Alligator mississippiensis: one gene and its partner. The protein of the gene in region 1 binds, or shares a complex with, the protein of each later gene. Links are inferred from orthologs where the notes say so. Each region holds a gene or a part of one and is shown on either strand. Other genes may lie near its edges.

The links. Proteins that work in one complex are often made in the same cells at the same time.
Region 2: the proteins of NOG (region 1) and BMP7 are in contact, whole or in part, in a crystal structure (PDB 1M4U), measured with the Homo sapiens proteins. The link is inferred for Alligator mississippiensis from reciprocal best matches to the Homo sapiens genes NOG and BMP7. Residues at the interface, in NP_005441.1 of Homo sapiens: His29, Tyr30, Leu31, His32, Ile33, Arg34, Pro35, Ala36; in NP_001710.1 of Homo sapiens: Phe365, Pro366, Leu367, Asn368, Ser369, Asn375, Ile378, Val379.

Annotation. Positions count from the first base shown.
Region 1 is NC_081831.1:7,825,102-7,832,540, forward strand, and holds the start of NOG (noggin), read right to left. Parts: upstream 3,028-7,439; 5' UTR 2,516-3,027; coding exon 1,844-2,515; 3' UTR 1-1,843. UniProt on the Homo sapiens protein: Inhibitor of bone morphogenetic proteins (BMP) signaling which is required for growth and patterning of the neural tube and somite. Essential for cartilage morphogenesis and joint formation.
Region 2 is NC_081832.1:9,428,550-9,435,547, forward strand, and holds the start of BMP7 (bone morphogenetic protein 7), read left to right. Parts: upstream 1-3,958; 5' UTR 3,959-4,264; coding exon 4,265-4,682; intron 4,683-6,998. UniProt on the Homo sapiens protein: Growth factor of the TGF-beta superfamily that plays important role in various biological processes, including embryogenesis, hematopoiesis, neurogenesis and skeletal morphogenesis.

The DNA.
Region 1 (7,439 bases):
TAACACCCCCAAGAGTTTATTAATAATAGGGAGCTATTAATAAGAAGGAATATATACTATATGCTATATCTGTTCACTGATTGCAGGAATACAGTCAGGTTAAAAATAACATGCATGTAGCACACACAGGTAGAGTCATTTTAACCTTTAACCAAGAGTCAGAAGCAGTGTCTGCATGAAGTCCCAGCAGTAACTGCAGCAATTACAGACCTCTGCATGACTGGGTGAGAAGAGAAGGTAGCTAGTGGGAATAGTCCTTCAGTGAGGTTTGCTAACAGGGGAAAGGACGTCTTATTGTAATCCAGTGACATGTTCAACCTTCGGGGAACTTTTGTTGACATTCCCAAGTCCCTGGCTGCCATCCCAGCATGAAATAGTTTCTGTTCACATAATTCTCGTGTTTACCCGTCATGAAAAACTCTTGCTTTTGGCTTTTTTTTTTTTTTTGCAAGTGAAACGGTGTCTAAAAAAATATTGGCCCCGGGCGCAGAAGGTTTTGCATAAATTCATCTGTGATGAATGGCTGATTTCAATGTTATTTGGGTATTTGTCAGAACCTAACAAATAGACATGGGGCCGGTGGTTCAGAAAACTTTAAAACATCTCAATATCCCCTTTCTTCTAGAAATAAATTACGTGTGTTTGCCCTGCCCCGGAGTCCGAAGGTAGCCGACATTGGGAATATTTTAAATGTGATCATCCATTCAGCATGTCTTTCAGGCGCCACGAAGATTAAATGCAAGAATCATAAGATGAAGGTCTTTAACTTTTAATCCTTTTACAATGAACCCTCAGATAGTGTCGGGGGCAGGGCGCCTCCGAGGTGAGTAATAATGCCGCTGTTCCTCTTCGCGAGGTTAATGAATACCCCAAATGTCCCCAGATCTCTGGGGCTTGCTTTTTTGGGGGGGGATGAGAAGCAGCGCGGCGGCGGAGGCGCTGGGCAGGGCGGGAGCCGGGACAGGAGCAGGCACCCAGTGCCTGGGAAGGGGAAACTTGAAGAAGGGGCTTTTGATTGCAAGGTCAATCAGGCCCCGGCTGCAGCACGTGGAGGCGGCTCGGGGGCAGGGGCAGGGAGCACGTGCGCGCCTCCTGCCGCCTCCCAGCCCGGGCACGGCGGAGCCCCGAGGGGCAGCCCACCCGCGACGGCGCCGGGCCGGTGCGAGACACGCGTGGCCCGTGGAGGTGACATGTCCAGCGGCGACACGCGCCGGGCGGGGAGCAAACAACCCAGCCACAAAGCACACACAAGCAGCCCAGCTCGGATTATTTTAGTGGTCGATTTTTAATCCCGCGCTGCCCTTGGACTACGGGGGTATAGCAAGAATAAATAGACACTCTTCCTTGCCAGCCATCAAAGCCTTCATCCTCTTCTCTGTGTATGTGTGTGTGTGTGTGTGTCCTCTTCTGTGTGTGTGTGTGTTTAAACTCTGAAGTCCATCAGAAACAACCCCCCCCACCTCCCCCGCGCGCGCACACGTGCAGCGGCACATCGCTTCAAAAACTTCTCTTCTCAGCCTGGGCTTTTCCTTTATCAAAAAAATCCCTCCCCCCTCTCCAAACACCTTTTATTAAATTAAAAATAATAATGATAATAATTAAAAAAAAAAAAGTCATCCGTCTGGGGAGCATGAAGACCCGGGAGAAAGAGAGCCCCGAGCCAGGACCCGGAGCTCACAAATATACAGCGGACGCTGAGGACTTGCCGGGATAATACTGACCTTTTTTAATAGTCAACGAGAAGGCTGCCATATATACACACACACACACACATATACATTCTCCTACACGGTACAGTGCATGACAACGCGGGGCAGAAAGCGGGCCGGGTCCACACGTGTCCCTAGCAGGAGCACTTGCACTCCGAGATGATGGGGTACTGGATGGGGATCCAGGCGCAGCGCTGCCCGCCCCGCCGCTGGCACCGCCAGCGCAGGATGGTCAAATGCACGGACTTGGCCGGCTTGCACAGCATGCCCTCGGGCACGGAGCACGACCGCTTGCTGTAGCAGCTGCCCACCTTGACGAAGCGGGGCCAGAAGCGGCTGCCCAGGTCGTTCCAGGTGTAGAGCACGGGGCAGAAGGTCTGCGACCAGAGCCACAGCTGCAGCTTCCTGCGCAGCTTCTTGCTCAGCCGGTGCTTCTTGCCCGGCTGCAGCCCGTCGGCAAACTCCAGCCCTTTGATGTCGCTGGGCATCGCCCCCGAGGGTCTCTGCCGGAGCAGCAAGTCCAGCTCGGCCAGGTCGTCCCCCCCGAGCCGCTCCTCGGGCACGGCGGTGGCCATGAAGTTGGCGTCGAAGTGCCCGCCCAGGAGGCTCCTGAGCAAGGTCTCGTTAAGATCCTTCTCCTTGGGGTCAAAGATAGGGTCCGGGTGCTCGATGAGGTCCACCAGGGGCAGGTTGTCGCTGGGCGCCGGGCGGATGTGCAGGTAGTGCTGGCAGGCGCCCTGCCCCATGCGGAGCCCCAGCAGCACCGCCAAGGCGTAGATGGTGGCCAGGCACTGGTTGTGCTCCATCCTCGGGGGCAGCCAACTGCATCCGCCACCGCGGCCGGGGGGGGGAGAGCCGAGCCGCCCGTCCCGACGGGGCGCCCCCGGCCCCCCAACAAGGCTCCCCCCCCGCCCCGCGCTCGCAGCCTCTCCTCCGGCGCTGCCCGCGAGCGGGCTCCGTCCCGCGCCTGCTGCAGCACGAGGCGGCGGCAGCTGGAGGGGTGTGTGTGTAGGGGGGGGTCTTTTGGGGGGAGGAGGGGGGTTTCTTCTTCTTCTTCTTCCCCCCCCCCACCTCCACCACCACCCCAGCGCTTTCCTTTTTTGCAAATGCTTCCCGGCCGGGCTCCTCTCGCAGGCTCCTCTCCGCCGCTCTGCACGGCGGCCGCGCACGTTGGCACCAGTTTGTCTGCTTTGCAAGGATCCAAAGCCTTTAAATTTCCTGCACTTTCAGCTCCATCACCATGGAAACCACCGACTCTCTGCTCACCCCCCCTTCCATGCAAAAAAAAAAAAAACCCAAAAAACCACACACACGCACATGCACACACACGCACATGCACACGCACGCACCCGCCCCGCCACCCCCGCAGCCCGCGGGGGATGCGCGTCTCTCCGGGAGGCCCCCCGGGTGCAGCGCCGCCACCCCCAGGCAGGGCTGGCTGCAGCTGGGCAAGGCGGAGGGCTCCCCCCCCCTTCTGCCCCCCCACATTTATTTATGGACTTATTGATCGGCTTCCCCAGTTCAGCGCTACCTGGCTGCTGGGGGCCCGTGATGCAATTGCTACTGAGCGCTGCTGCTGGCCGGGAGCCCGGCGGGGACCGGGCTGCACCGCCTCCCCCGCCGGCCCGGCTCCTGCCATGCACCGGGCGGAGCGAGCCCTCTGCTGGCTGCGGGGGAAGCCGCTGCCTTCTGCGCACCCGGGCACAGCTCTGCTCCCGCTCCTGCCCTGGCCCTGGCCCTGGCCCTGCTCCGCTCCCCGTGTGCACGCACAGACCCGGGGCAGGACGTGGTGCGCTGGGTTGCTCCTCTAACTGCATCCCAAGGACACAGCCACTCCGAGAAGTAACCACACCAACAACAACTAATAACAACAGCAACAATGAATAGTAATAAAAGGACATCCTAACAGCTGTTCAGGAGGCGGTGGAAGTTAAAAACAAACCCTAAATGTTTGTTTCCTACCTTCCCTTCTTTTTTCAACTGGCAAACCTTGAAACAATGTGGAAGACATAGCTGCCCCCCCCCCCCTCCCTCCACCCCCACTCTGGAGGACAGACTGGTTTTTGTAAACACATAAATAGGAAAAGAAAGTCTGGGAGAGAGGAGTCCTCTTGAATGTACTGGTGGATGGAGCCAAGGAAAAATCCTCTTGAAGTCTTCAGAGCTGATGAGGGGGTGAAGACTTTGTCTATAGCCTTTTTTTAAATGACAAGCTGCTATCAAGTTCTATAGAGGGGGTTATGATGCTTTATTAAATTCTCTGTGGTTATTAAGAAAAAGCTGATGGAAAGGTTAAGATTTCCTATTAAATGCCATAGGACTTTTCTATAAGGGGAGCAAAGGAAGGTTATAGGTATGGTCAACACAGAAAACAGGGAGCAAGCCAGGGGCAATGTGCTATGCAGGGATAGTAACATTACCAAGTGACCCTGAATGCTATTTCACCACTGCAGAATAATTATTCACCAAGGAGCACCAGAGAAATCTGGCCCTTGCAGCGATATTATAAAGATGAACGGCAGTGCCCGCTATTAAGATGTGGTGCAAGACCTCCAGAAGTGCCCAAGTCCTGTTCTCAGAAGTTTAGTTCTTGGAGCCTGCCTCTCATGGGACTCTTTAAGTACCCAAGTCACTTATGAAATTGAGATTTAGGCTCATAAATCACATGCACACTTTTCAAAACGTTACATTTAGACTCTTCCAAGGGCATGCTCTATACATGGGACAACAATCCATATTTTTGTCAAATGTCTTGTTTTCGTGTCCAGTTATCTTTTATTTCATAAATTTAGGCTTGACCCCACACTGAGGATGTCCCCTTCATTCTTTCATTCCTCCTTCATCTCTTTTAAGATAGGCACCTTCCAGTAAAGAACTTGGGGCCCTGCTTAAATCACAAGGGACTATTCATGTGATTTAATGTTAACTGTGTGCTAAAGTGGCGTTGCTGGATCAGGGCTCTACAACAGGGCCTCTTACTTTCGCTTATGTGCTGACTACAGGCAGAATGCTCTACAACCAATATAGATACAACTGAGAATAAAGAGAAGGCAAAACAATCTGGATCTACATGGCAGACAGGGTTCAGTTACACCTGCCGCCACCATTAGTAGTAACAGTCAGTCAGAATTTTATTAGATGGTTTCCCAGCATCTCCCCCCACCAACCCCTAGAAAATAACATTGCTCCTGACTGAAGGTTGGCATGCAGGATCTCAGCTTTCAGCAGTGGTTCGCACACAACGGTTAGCTCCCACTTGAGCTGTGCTGATCATTTATAGGAAAACCTAAAGTGAAACACCAGGGGTATGAACATGACAAGAAGCCAAGACATAAAATGTTGCTGTATCGTATTTGAAGGGAAAGTGCCAAGATTCATACAGTTCAAGCTACTGCACATAGACACAGCTACTTCTAGAATCAGTCTTGTAAAGAGATCAGGCCAGATCCCCAGCTGGCATAAACTGGCATTCAATTTTGCTATTCATAGCAGTTGAGAATCTGGCACTTCAGATCTTAACTACTGGTACTATTGCTGCCCTGTTAGCAGTTAGACTCGTGGACACGTCCAACAAGTTCTCGTGCCAAAGCTGCTCTGAGCAGGATGGGGTTTGTTGCTTCCCTCAAGGTCTGCATATATCTGACCTTTTTCTGCCTAAATTGCAGGAAACATGGGGGTACTGTGGTGTCCTGACTTGGCCCTACTGAATCTGCATGCCAAATGATAGATGAATAGCTGAATGGTGAGTATAGAGTTATTTTCTCCAGTGAGAAAGTGCTTTATGCAATTAGCTTACTTCCGATGGTGGCCCAAGATCAAGCATATCGTTTTTTTATGCAACAGTAATATAGATACAGCAACAGTAGACAGCCAGACCCAGCTCAACCATGTTTGTTTCATTTTAGTTTTTTGCATTGTCCCCCCTCTGATTTTAGCAAGCACAGTATGCTGCAGGTAACTCATAAAGCTACACAGTGAAGAGACTGGATGAAGGATGTCTTGCATTCAAAAGCTTGTCTAACTTTATCCCACCTGCATCGTTAGTCCAGTAAAAGATCCCACCCTAAGAGATCCTTGCCTCTAGTAGGTAAACTCACATAAATATGAGTGCACAGGCACAGATGTTAAGTCATCCCATGCCTCCCATGGCTAAGTAACGAGTGCATTTTTAATGCATTATTTTTTATTACACAGTTCCCATAAACAGAGTTGTGCCCGTGATCCGTCCGCATGTATGCTTGTGCCACCATTCCCGAGTATACATATGCCTGCCCTGTCACACACTCATAGATAAGCCATTTCATGACTCCTGCACACTTTGCGAGTATGTCATACATTTGCATTTCTTTGCAAAGGATTTCTGAGAAGCTGGCTTGAATATTGACTTGGACCCTTCTCCCAATGAAATCAAGGGCAAATCTTATTGCAAGTGTAAGATGAGTCCTTTTCGTTACAGACATCCTAGCTTCAGTCCAGGAAAATGTACTGAGGCAAAAGTACTTTAGAACAGAGAATGGAGATAGTACAAATGATTGAAATAAACTGGGAACAAGGTGAAACCTGTTTTTCTGATCACACACTTCTTCCCTTGCAGTAACTTAAGTGTTAAAATCAACTCAGTTCAGGAGTAAAAAAAAACAACCAACAAAACACAAATACTTTTCTCCTAACCACTCATGCTGCACACTTCCCTTCTGAAAGGGAAGCAGCTATGGCCTGTCCCTGCTTCATGCCCACTGGTATAATTAAGATTTTTGAATCAGAAGGTGGGTAGATCCAGCACCTGCAGACTCTCAAACTTGACCCCTGTGAGTACAGTTACACGTAGGATGGGACTGTAACTGGGCATATCTGCCTCTTAGGGCTGAGGGGCCAAGAGCGCAGCCCTGTTCAGAACAGATTGGGGCCTGGTAGTTTGCAAGGGATCAGGTGATTTCCTGATGAGCACCTGATTCCTGTAAAGCCTGAAAGAGCTCAGCTGAAGAAGGGGAAAGCTAGAGGAAATAGGCTGGTTCCTGCAGCAGGAGGACTCCCCAGTGGATGGCTTATTGGAGGGACCGGGAAGAGTTACCAGGAGCACCGAGCCTCTGGCTGGAAGCCCCTGGGGCAGGGAAAAGCAAGCTGCTGGATTTATGTTGAGCTGTTCTAGTCTGGGGTTTGCTGGAAACGGCTTGTGCCATCAATAACTGGTGCCCCGAGGAAAACTGTGTTCAGACTGTGTGTGGTGTCAGCCCCAGAGATGGGGAAACAGGCTAGCAGGCTCCAGGGATCTGTGCTGGCTGGTCTGTTGGCAGTGATGTGCAAGACGGAGGAGAATGCAACTCTCTCCACCACAGCTTTATTGGCTCTGGAGTGTTGACGGTAGTAAAAATGTGTTTTTTCAGTAAACAAAGCAAATACAACTTGCAAGACACATGGGGAGCCAATGTGTTCAGTGTTAAGGTGCCATTTCTACACCGTCACAGTTCCGATTGCCAGGGTGCACGCTTGTAACGCGCTGCTCTGGAGACGAGTCCGGAGGGGCTGTGCCTGTATCTTAATAAAGGACCCAATCCATCAAGTCCACTCCAATCTCACGTGCCCTTCCGAGTCATATCTTGCCACTGATTTGGCAACACACGTGGGAGCCAGTGCAACATCCACTGCCTGACTTCAATGGCTGCTTTGAATAAGGCCCATTTTGTACCAGTTCATGCTAAACGTAAATCAGAAATAGTAATCCAACTGATA
Region 2 (6,998 bases), on another chromosome or scaffold:
CTTTGGGTCCAATCTTTAAGTTAAGCATGAAACCATTTGTGTAACCTGAACATACATTTACTTCATTTAGGTTAATCTTGCATACTGATGACCTGAATGAGCCACTGGTATGCATCTGGCAATTTGGATGCATGACCATGACAACAATGCATACAAATTAGGCACATGCAATTGCACACAAATTGTGTGTACTTTATTTGTTTTAGAAGTGGGCCCTTTATTTCTAAACTAGTCACTTCCATCCAGCAACAGTGCATGTATTTCTACATAAACACAAATAATAGCTAATATACAAATCATACACATGCAAAATACTAAGATACCCAAAAGATGAAAATAGAAGCACTCAGTTATTTTTTTAAAGAAATCATCTGAAACAGCCACAGCCAACATCCAGGTATTGCTTCATCATCAGCACTCAACTCTCCTTCTCTGACAGGGAGCAGGAGGAGGAGGAGGAGGAGGAGCAGCGGATGGCAGTTAAGAGGAAAAACTGGTTTCTTAATTGACCTGGGAGAGAAGAGAAAGAGGGTGATGACATGGGGTTGCCAATATTTTCAGCAATTTGTCTACAGTACTTGGGAGCTGACCCTGAGAGCACCAATAAATGAGGTCAAGCAGTATGCAAAATATGATGGAAGAAACATTAGAATCAGAAATTATGGCATAGACAATATCCTCTAATTGCAGCATGTATGTGTAAAATCCATGTTCGCAGCTAAATGTTGACCCCATCTCACTCCATCATGCTATATTGCACACAGTGGGACATACTGGGACATACTCTTGGTTGCACCCAACAGCCTCACTGAAGTCAACATGTAATTGAGAAATCAATTCTCTAAGACAGTGGTTTTCAACCTGTGTTCTGCGGACCCCTGGGGGTCTGCAGACTACATCTAAGGGGTCCAGGAAAGATGACTATGATCAATCAGAAATGTGTGAATACCCACACTTACCATACCGCACTGCCATTAAAATTTTTTTAGGGATCTGAAAATGAAAAAAGGTTGAAAACTACTGCTCTATGAGTGGTTTTTCAAGAGTGGTTTTTTGCTGTTCTCAACCCTCACTCACAAAGAATGCCTCTGGCACCTGGTATATAACAGTGGCAAACTCACTCTTAGGCATATCTGTCATGTATCTATTTCAGCAGATTGTATTTAGCAGTCTGTCTCAACAATCACAAGCCAGACATTTTTGTAGAACAGCATGTGGAGAAATTACCTGCAGCAGCTTCAAAGAAAAAGTTTGGTTCTCTGATACTTATAATAATCCCCTTTCATAAAAAGTTTATTGCTTATGCCAGATCCCACAATATCCTCTCTCTACTTGATTCTGAGCCTGTCAAACCAGGTATGTTGGTCCACAGTTTAGGCCAGGAAGTAAAGAATAAAGCCATACAAAATAGCAATGAAAAAGATTATTAAAAGATTGGATCCATTTCCATGCAAGTGTGAGAGACGGCCCTGTCACTCACTACACCTGGGGAAAGGACAATTATTAAGCTGATACACAATACACTGCTTGATCTTAACCCCCACAAGGCAACTTAACCAACTGAAGCTAGGGGGAAGTTAAGTAGGGAATGAAGAATCATAACTAGAACCAGAAGAACCTGCCAAACCAAGAAGTCTCAAAATTTGTCTCCCATAAAAAATGACACAATCAATCCCAGAAATCAGCTACCTGAAGATTTTTCCAGAGCCCAAATCTTCCAGTTCAGAAGAACTGAGTATCTTCCCTTTCCCCCAAACAAGCAGTGCTTTTTAAGGGGATGTTGTTAACTTGAAAATTGCCCTATATATGGTTTCTAGAAATATACCTGCTCTTAAGGCTCCTTGTCCATTTCTATAATCTTCATCTATTGTATAGTATTTTAATTTCAATATGTTTTTCTCCCTGGTTTGTTGGGTGAAAGGCCTGCACATAAGGCAACAGCAGGAGGAACGGACAGAGGGGAGAGACTAGGCCCAATCACTGTCAAATGCACCAAGGAAACAAAACACCCTTTTGTGTTGAAATCCATGCCAGTTATATGTTTTCAAACACGAAGGCCGCAATTCTTAGAAATGTTTTGGCATTACCACTTAGGAACAAATCCAGGGTTTGTACAAATGATGATACACAAAATAAGCTGGTATTTTATTATTGTATGCAGTTGCAATCACAGCTAATTCATGTGAAGGGACTCTAGAAGGCCCCTTCTGGATATCATGGTGGTATATCTGTATTACCACTATCTTAGACACTTCTATGGATAGCATCACCATAGTACCTGGGTGACTCACAATACTTAAATATAGGTAGCCTTACCAGTCTATGAGCCAGGGAAATACTAGTATTCCCATTTTAGGACAGAGATGGGAAGCAGAGAAAGGCTAAATGATAGGCTAATGTCACATAAGGGATTGGTGGCAGAGCTGGGAATTGAACAAGGCTCTTCCAACACACACACCTGAAGCCTTAAATCATGGCTTCTGTTTGTATTGGGAGCCAGCAAGAGATGACGGGGCAAACCACCTGTCACCTCCAGTCCTTCTCCTGCCCCCCAGGCAGGCTGGCAGTGCTTCTCTAGAGCTATAAAAGATTCTTGCCACCCCTTTGAAAAGCAGCAGAAGAATGAGGAAGGGCCTGGCAGCTAGGCTCCTAACGGACTCTCCCCCTTTCTCAATGTGGTCTAAAAATGGACCACTCCAGTTCTGTCTCTCACTTTCTCCTCTGTTAAAAAGCAAAGAGTGCCTCCTTCACCCAGCTCTTATAACAAGCTACTCACTGTTTGCACAACACTTTTAGGATACACTGGTCTGTATAAATGCGGAGTGTTCTTTTATTGTAGCCAGCCTGAGCCTTTATTGGGAAGGGCAGCATATAAATTGGCATTGTATAAACTGAATAAATAAATAAAAATGAATAACTATTCATTTCTGGGTGCAGAAGGCAGGTGGGACCAGGTGTTCAGACTTCTGGGCATGGCAAGGCTCATCAGGAAGCATCAAAGACTACGAGCATGTCAAGGCAGTGGAAACAACCTCTTTTCCCTCCTCTCCTTTCACTCTTCCCGCCAGGGCTGAATCAAAAAATCAACATATAGTCTGAATTATTTCCGGTCCTCTCCTCTCAAGAGATTACTGCTGAATGCTGTCATTTATTTCTCCTTTGTGTTATGGTAGAGCTGGCAGGGCTCAGCCAGGATTGGGCTCTATTCTTCCAGACATTGTAGGGACACTTAGTAAGAGACAGCCCCTGCTCCAAAGGGCTGATAACCCCATCCTGGACAAGATGCAACAAGTGAGTGTAGCTAACAATGGAAGGAAAAGAGAGGGGAGGAGATGAGAGGGAGACAGACTGTGACAAACACTAGCTGTGCGCACAAGCTGATGGGTCCGGGGCCATGTCACTGGTATCCTGTATTGTTTTAAACTTTCACCTATTAACCCATAACCTCCTGGCCTTCTTTAACACTTCTCCACTCACATCCCCCCCGACCGCCTGTGGGTACAAGCGACCTTGGGCTACCTTTCCTACTGGTATCATTACATTTTAAATGCATGCCTGTATTGGTCTTTTGCCTTCTGGGCAGGCTCTGCCCCACTGCACTGCTTAGTTTATTTTGTTTTATATATGCATACCCCCCCTCCCCTCCACTAAACAGCCCTCCCCCAGCACTGCCTTCCCCTTAATCATGTTTACATTAATTTAACTACTTGGGAATGGCTCACCCTTTCTTCTAAGCCAGAAGCCTCCATAAACATCCTGAAAAGCAACCTGATCAGATGTTCCTCCTCTAGGCAGTAACACGGATTTTCTTCTCTAAGCAGTTTGGAGAGAGAGAGCGAGCAGAGAGCAAGCGAGGGAGGGTGTTGAGTTGTGCTGCCTGCTCCTCCCACCAGATACAACCTCCTGCTGCCTGTCTGTAAAGCAGCATTTCAAACACTTGTGAGAAGTGAAGAGGGAGAGAGAGAGAGAGAGAGAAAGAAATCAGACCCTAAAGAAAGAGGGGAAAGGGAGTGGAAAGCACCACTCAGGAGTGATCCTTGCTATTTATCTCATGGATTTTACAAACTAAACCACCTCCCCCCCCCAGAGGCAAACTTTTATCATGAGTTTGCTGAAGCCTGAGCTGCAGGGCTGCCCTCTAGCCAAGTGATCAGAGCTTTGCGGGGCAGGCACTTTCCCCCTCTCCAGCTGTCTTTCATGGTAAAGTATTTATTCCTGCTCAGCAGCCCCGTGGGTCTCTTCATCTCCCCTCCGTGCAGGAGAGATGCGCGCCGCGTGGCCCGGGCAGCCTGCCTCCCGGCTGCTGGTCCTCTCGTGCTTGTGGCTGCGCTGCATCCTGGCGGACTTCACCTTGGACAATGAGGTGCACTCCAGCTTCATCCACCGGCGGCTGCGGAGCCAGGAGCGCCGGGAGATGCAGCGGGAGATCCTCTCCATCCTGGGCTTGCCGCACCGGCCCCGGCCCCATCTGCACGGCAAGCAGAACTCAGCCCCCATGTTCATGCTGGATCTCTACAATGCCATGTCGGTGGAGGAGGCGGCCGGGGCGGCGGGGGAGGAGGGAGAGGGCTTCTCCTACCCTTACAAGCCCATCTTCAGCACCCAGGGCCCCCCCCTGGCCAGCCTGCAGGACAGCAACTTCCTCACCGAGGCAGACATGGTCATGAGCTTCGTGAACCTGGGTGAGTGTCCGAGCCCAGCCCGGGGCAGCCTGCACAGGTCTGGGACAGCCTGGGGCAAAGGATCTGAGTTTGGGGCAAGTGTCTGGAGTGGGATGGGGTGGAAGGAAGCTGGTTTCTCTGCTGGCAAAAGCAAAGAGATGGACCCAATGGCACCACAGCCTCTGGTGGGGACAGGAGAGAATAGGCTGTGGTGGGGCAGGTAGCAACAAGGGGCGCATATGGCCCTGCTGGCAGGTGGCTTTGGGCAGGGCAGGGGAAGTAAGTGGCTCTAGATCCAGCCTTTGTTGCAGTGTGAATTTAAGTGTCAGGAGGTTTGGAAATCAGCTGGAAAGGGCTCACTCAGAACCTATGTCCTATGAGTAGGACTTTTACTGTGCCCCATCAGATCTCATCTGGCCTGCTGCCATGCTCCCTCCTTCTTCTTCCCTCTTGCTCCTCCACACGGAATGAGTTACCTTGCAGAATCCACGAGGGAGTGGACCTGTACAGGACCTGTTAGTGGCTCTGTCTGGCTTCTTGCACCACCAAGAAAGACGTGAAGCCAACAAAAGACCCTGGATTGCAACACAGTTCAAAGCCCTGAGCTTGGAATCATGTGGATGATCACAATGCCACCAGAGCCGCTTAAGTGGACAGACCCTAGTGGAGTGGCCAAGGCAGCCTTAACTAGATTGAGAGGGCCAGGCTGCTGGAGTCTGTTTTCTTAATGGCTTGAGAAGGATTCCAGGGTAAATCCTTATTTACTCCTGCAGCTCTTTCTAGTGACCCCAGTTGAGGCAAGCTAACGTGCTTCCTTTCACACACACATGTGGATGGGTTTATGCAAATGACATGAAAGTTGCCACGCTTTGTATGCAGCTCACTGAGCTGCTTTAATTGGATGCCGCAGTTTGCTGATATCCTCCTGATCTCTATTCGTTGGCTATAGATTGCACACCCTTTGGGACTTACTCAGCCGGATTTGAGTAAAATGCTGTCAGGACAAGCATTCTATTTTAAATATATAATTATAGGTCCCAGTTCACTGTATCTAGTTTTAGCCCTCATCACGTGCGGCTCTGAAACCACCAGATGTACAGATTGGGTGCCTGCAAATTCAAGTCAAAATCTGAATGATAATTCCAGAGCAGGGTTGACTCAAACTTTGCCTAAATGAGGAGCCGTTTGCAAGGAGTGAGAAGGATGCACCTGAGATGCATGAAATGGTACAGATGGCAGATGCCCTCATCTTAAATCCTGTAATAAATCTGCCATCACCTAGAACTTCCTGGTTATCACTTGGAGCTTCATGGTGGCAACAGGCATTGTGCAATAGTTGTCCTTCCCCTAGCACTATGGGCTAAAGCAGAAGTATCAGTAGCTGTATAGGCTTTATGACACACACATATGTGAATAGCTGTGATCATATACAGTAGCCAACCTCAGTCCAATCCTGAAGTGATACTTGGAGATGGAGCACTGCATGCTGAGATCTCAAGTTTCAGTGGAATTGCATCTCCATATTAAATACCATAAGCCTCACTGGTAGGACTCTACAATTGGCCCAAAGGCTGTAGTCTTTTCAGACTGCTAATATAGTCCATTTGGAAGTATAATGCTTGTCTAATAGTTTTTCAGTATGTAAGCCAATTAGCATTGATACATTTTAAAATCAATATTTGTGCAGCCAGGAGTACCACTGGTGGGCAAATATTTGACTTTAGAGATAAGAGAAATGGTGTTAATATTGTGCTGTGCTGTACCTCAGTGTACATATAATGTATGGCCAGAGTGCGGGGACATACAGAAAACAAAGGAAATAAACAAAGTTGGCACTTTTATTTTCTACTGTAAAAGTAGATTCTTTTTTTGAAAGGGCTGAATATTTAATAGAGTCAACTCCAGATAGTGAGATTTACCTCCAGGTGAACAATTATATCCTTTGGTTTTTGTGAAGTTAGTTTCGAGGTAGATCTCATAAATGCAGCTCTGGGGACCCAGTTCCAAGCTCAATAATGTGGGGAAAAGCCATCTTTGAAGGCCCCTGGAGTTTTATGTAAAAGACATTATGGTTTAGCCTCTAAAGTAACTTATTTTGCACAAACATGTTAGCTCAGTGTAATCATAGTGAAATTAGTCAATACATTTGTAATTGAGATTTGTTTTCTTGGATGCATCTATCCCATGAATCTAAAAGAACATATCAATAAAGATTATTATATGTAAATTACACAGGTTACAGTATAACATTAAAATTATGAACTGCATAAAAATGTCGGCTTTTGTAATCAGTTTAAAGAGTATGAAAATGTTCTTGCCAAAGTATTTCATTATTAT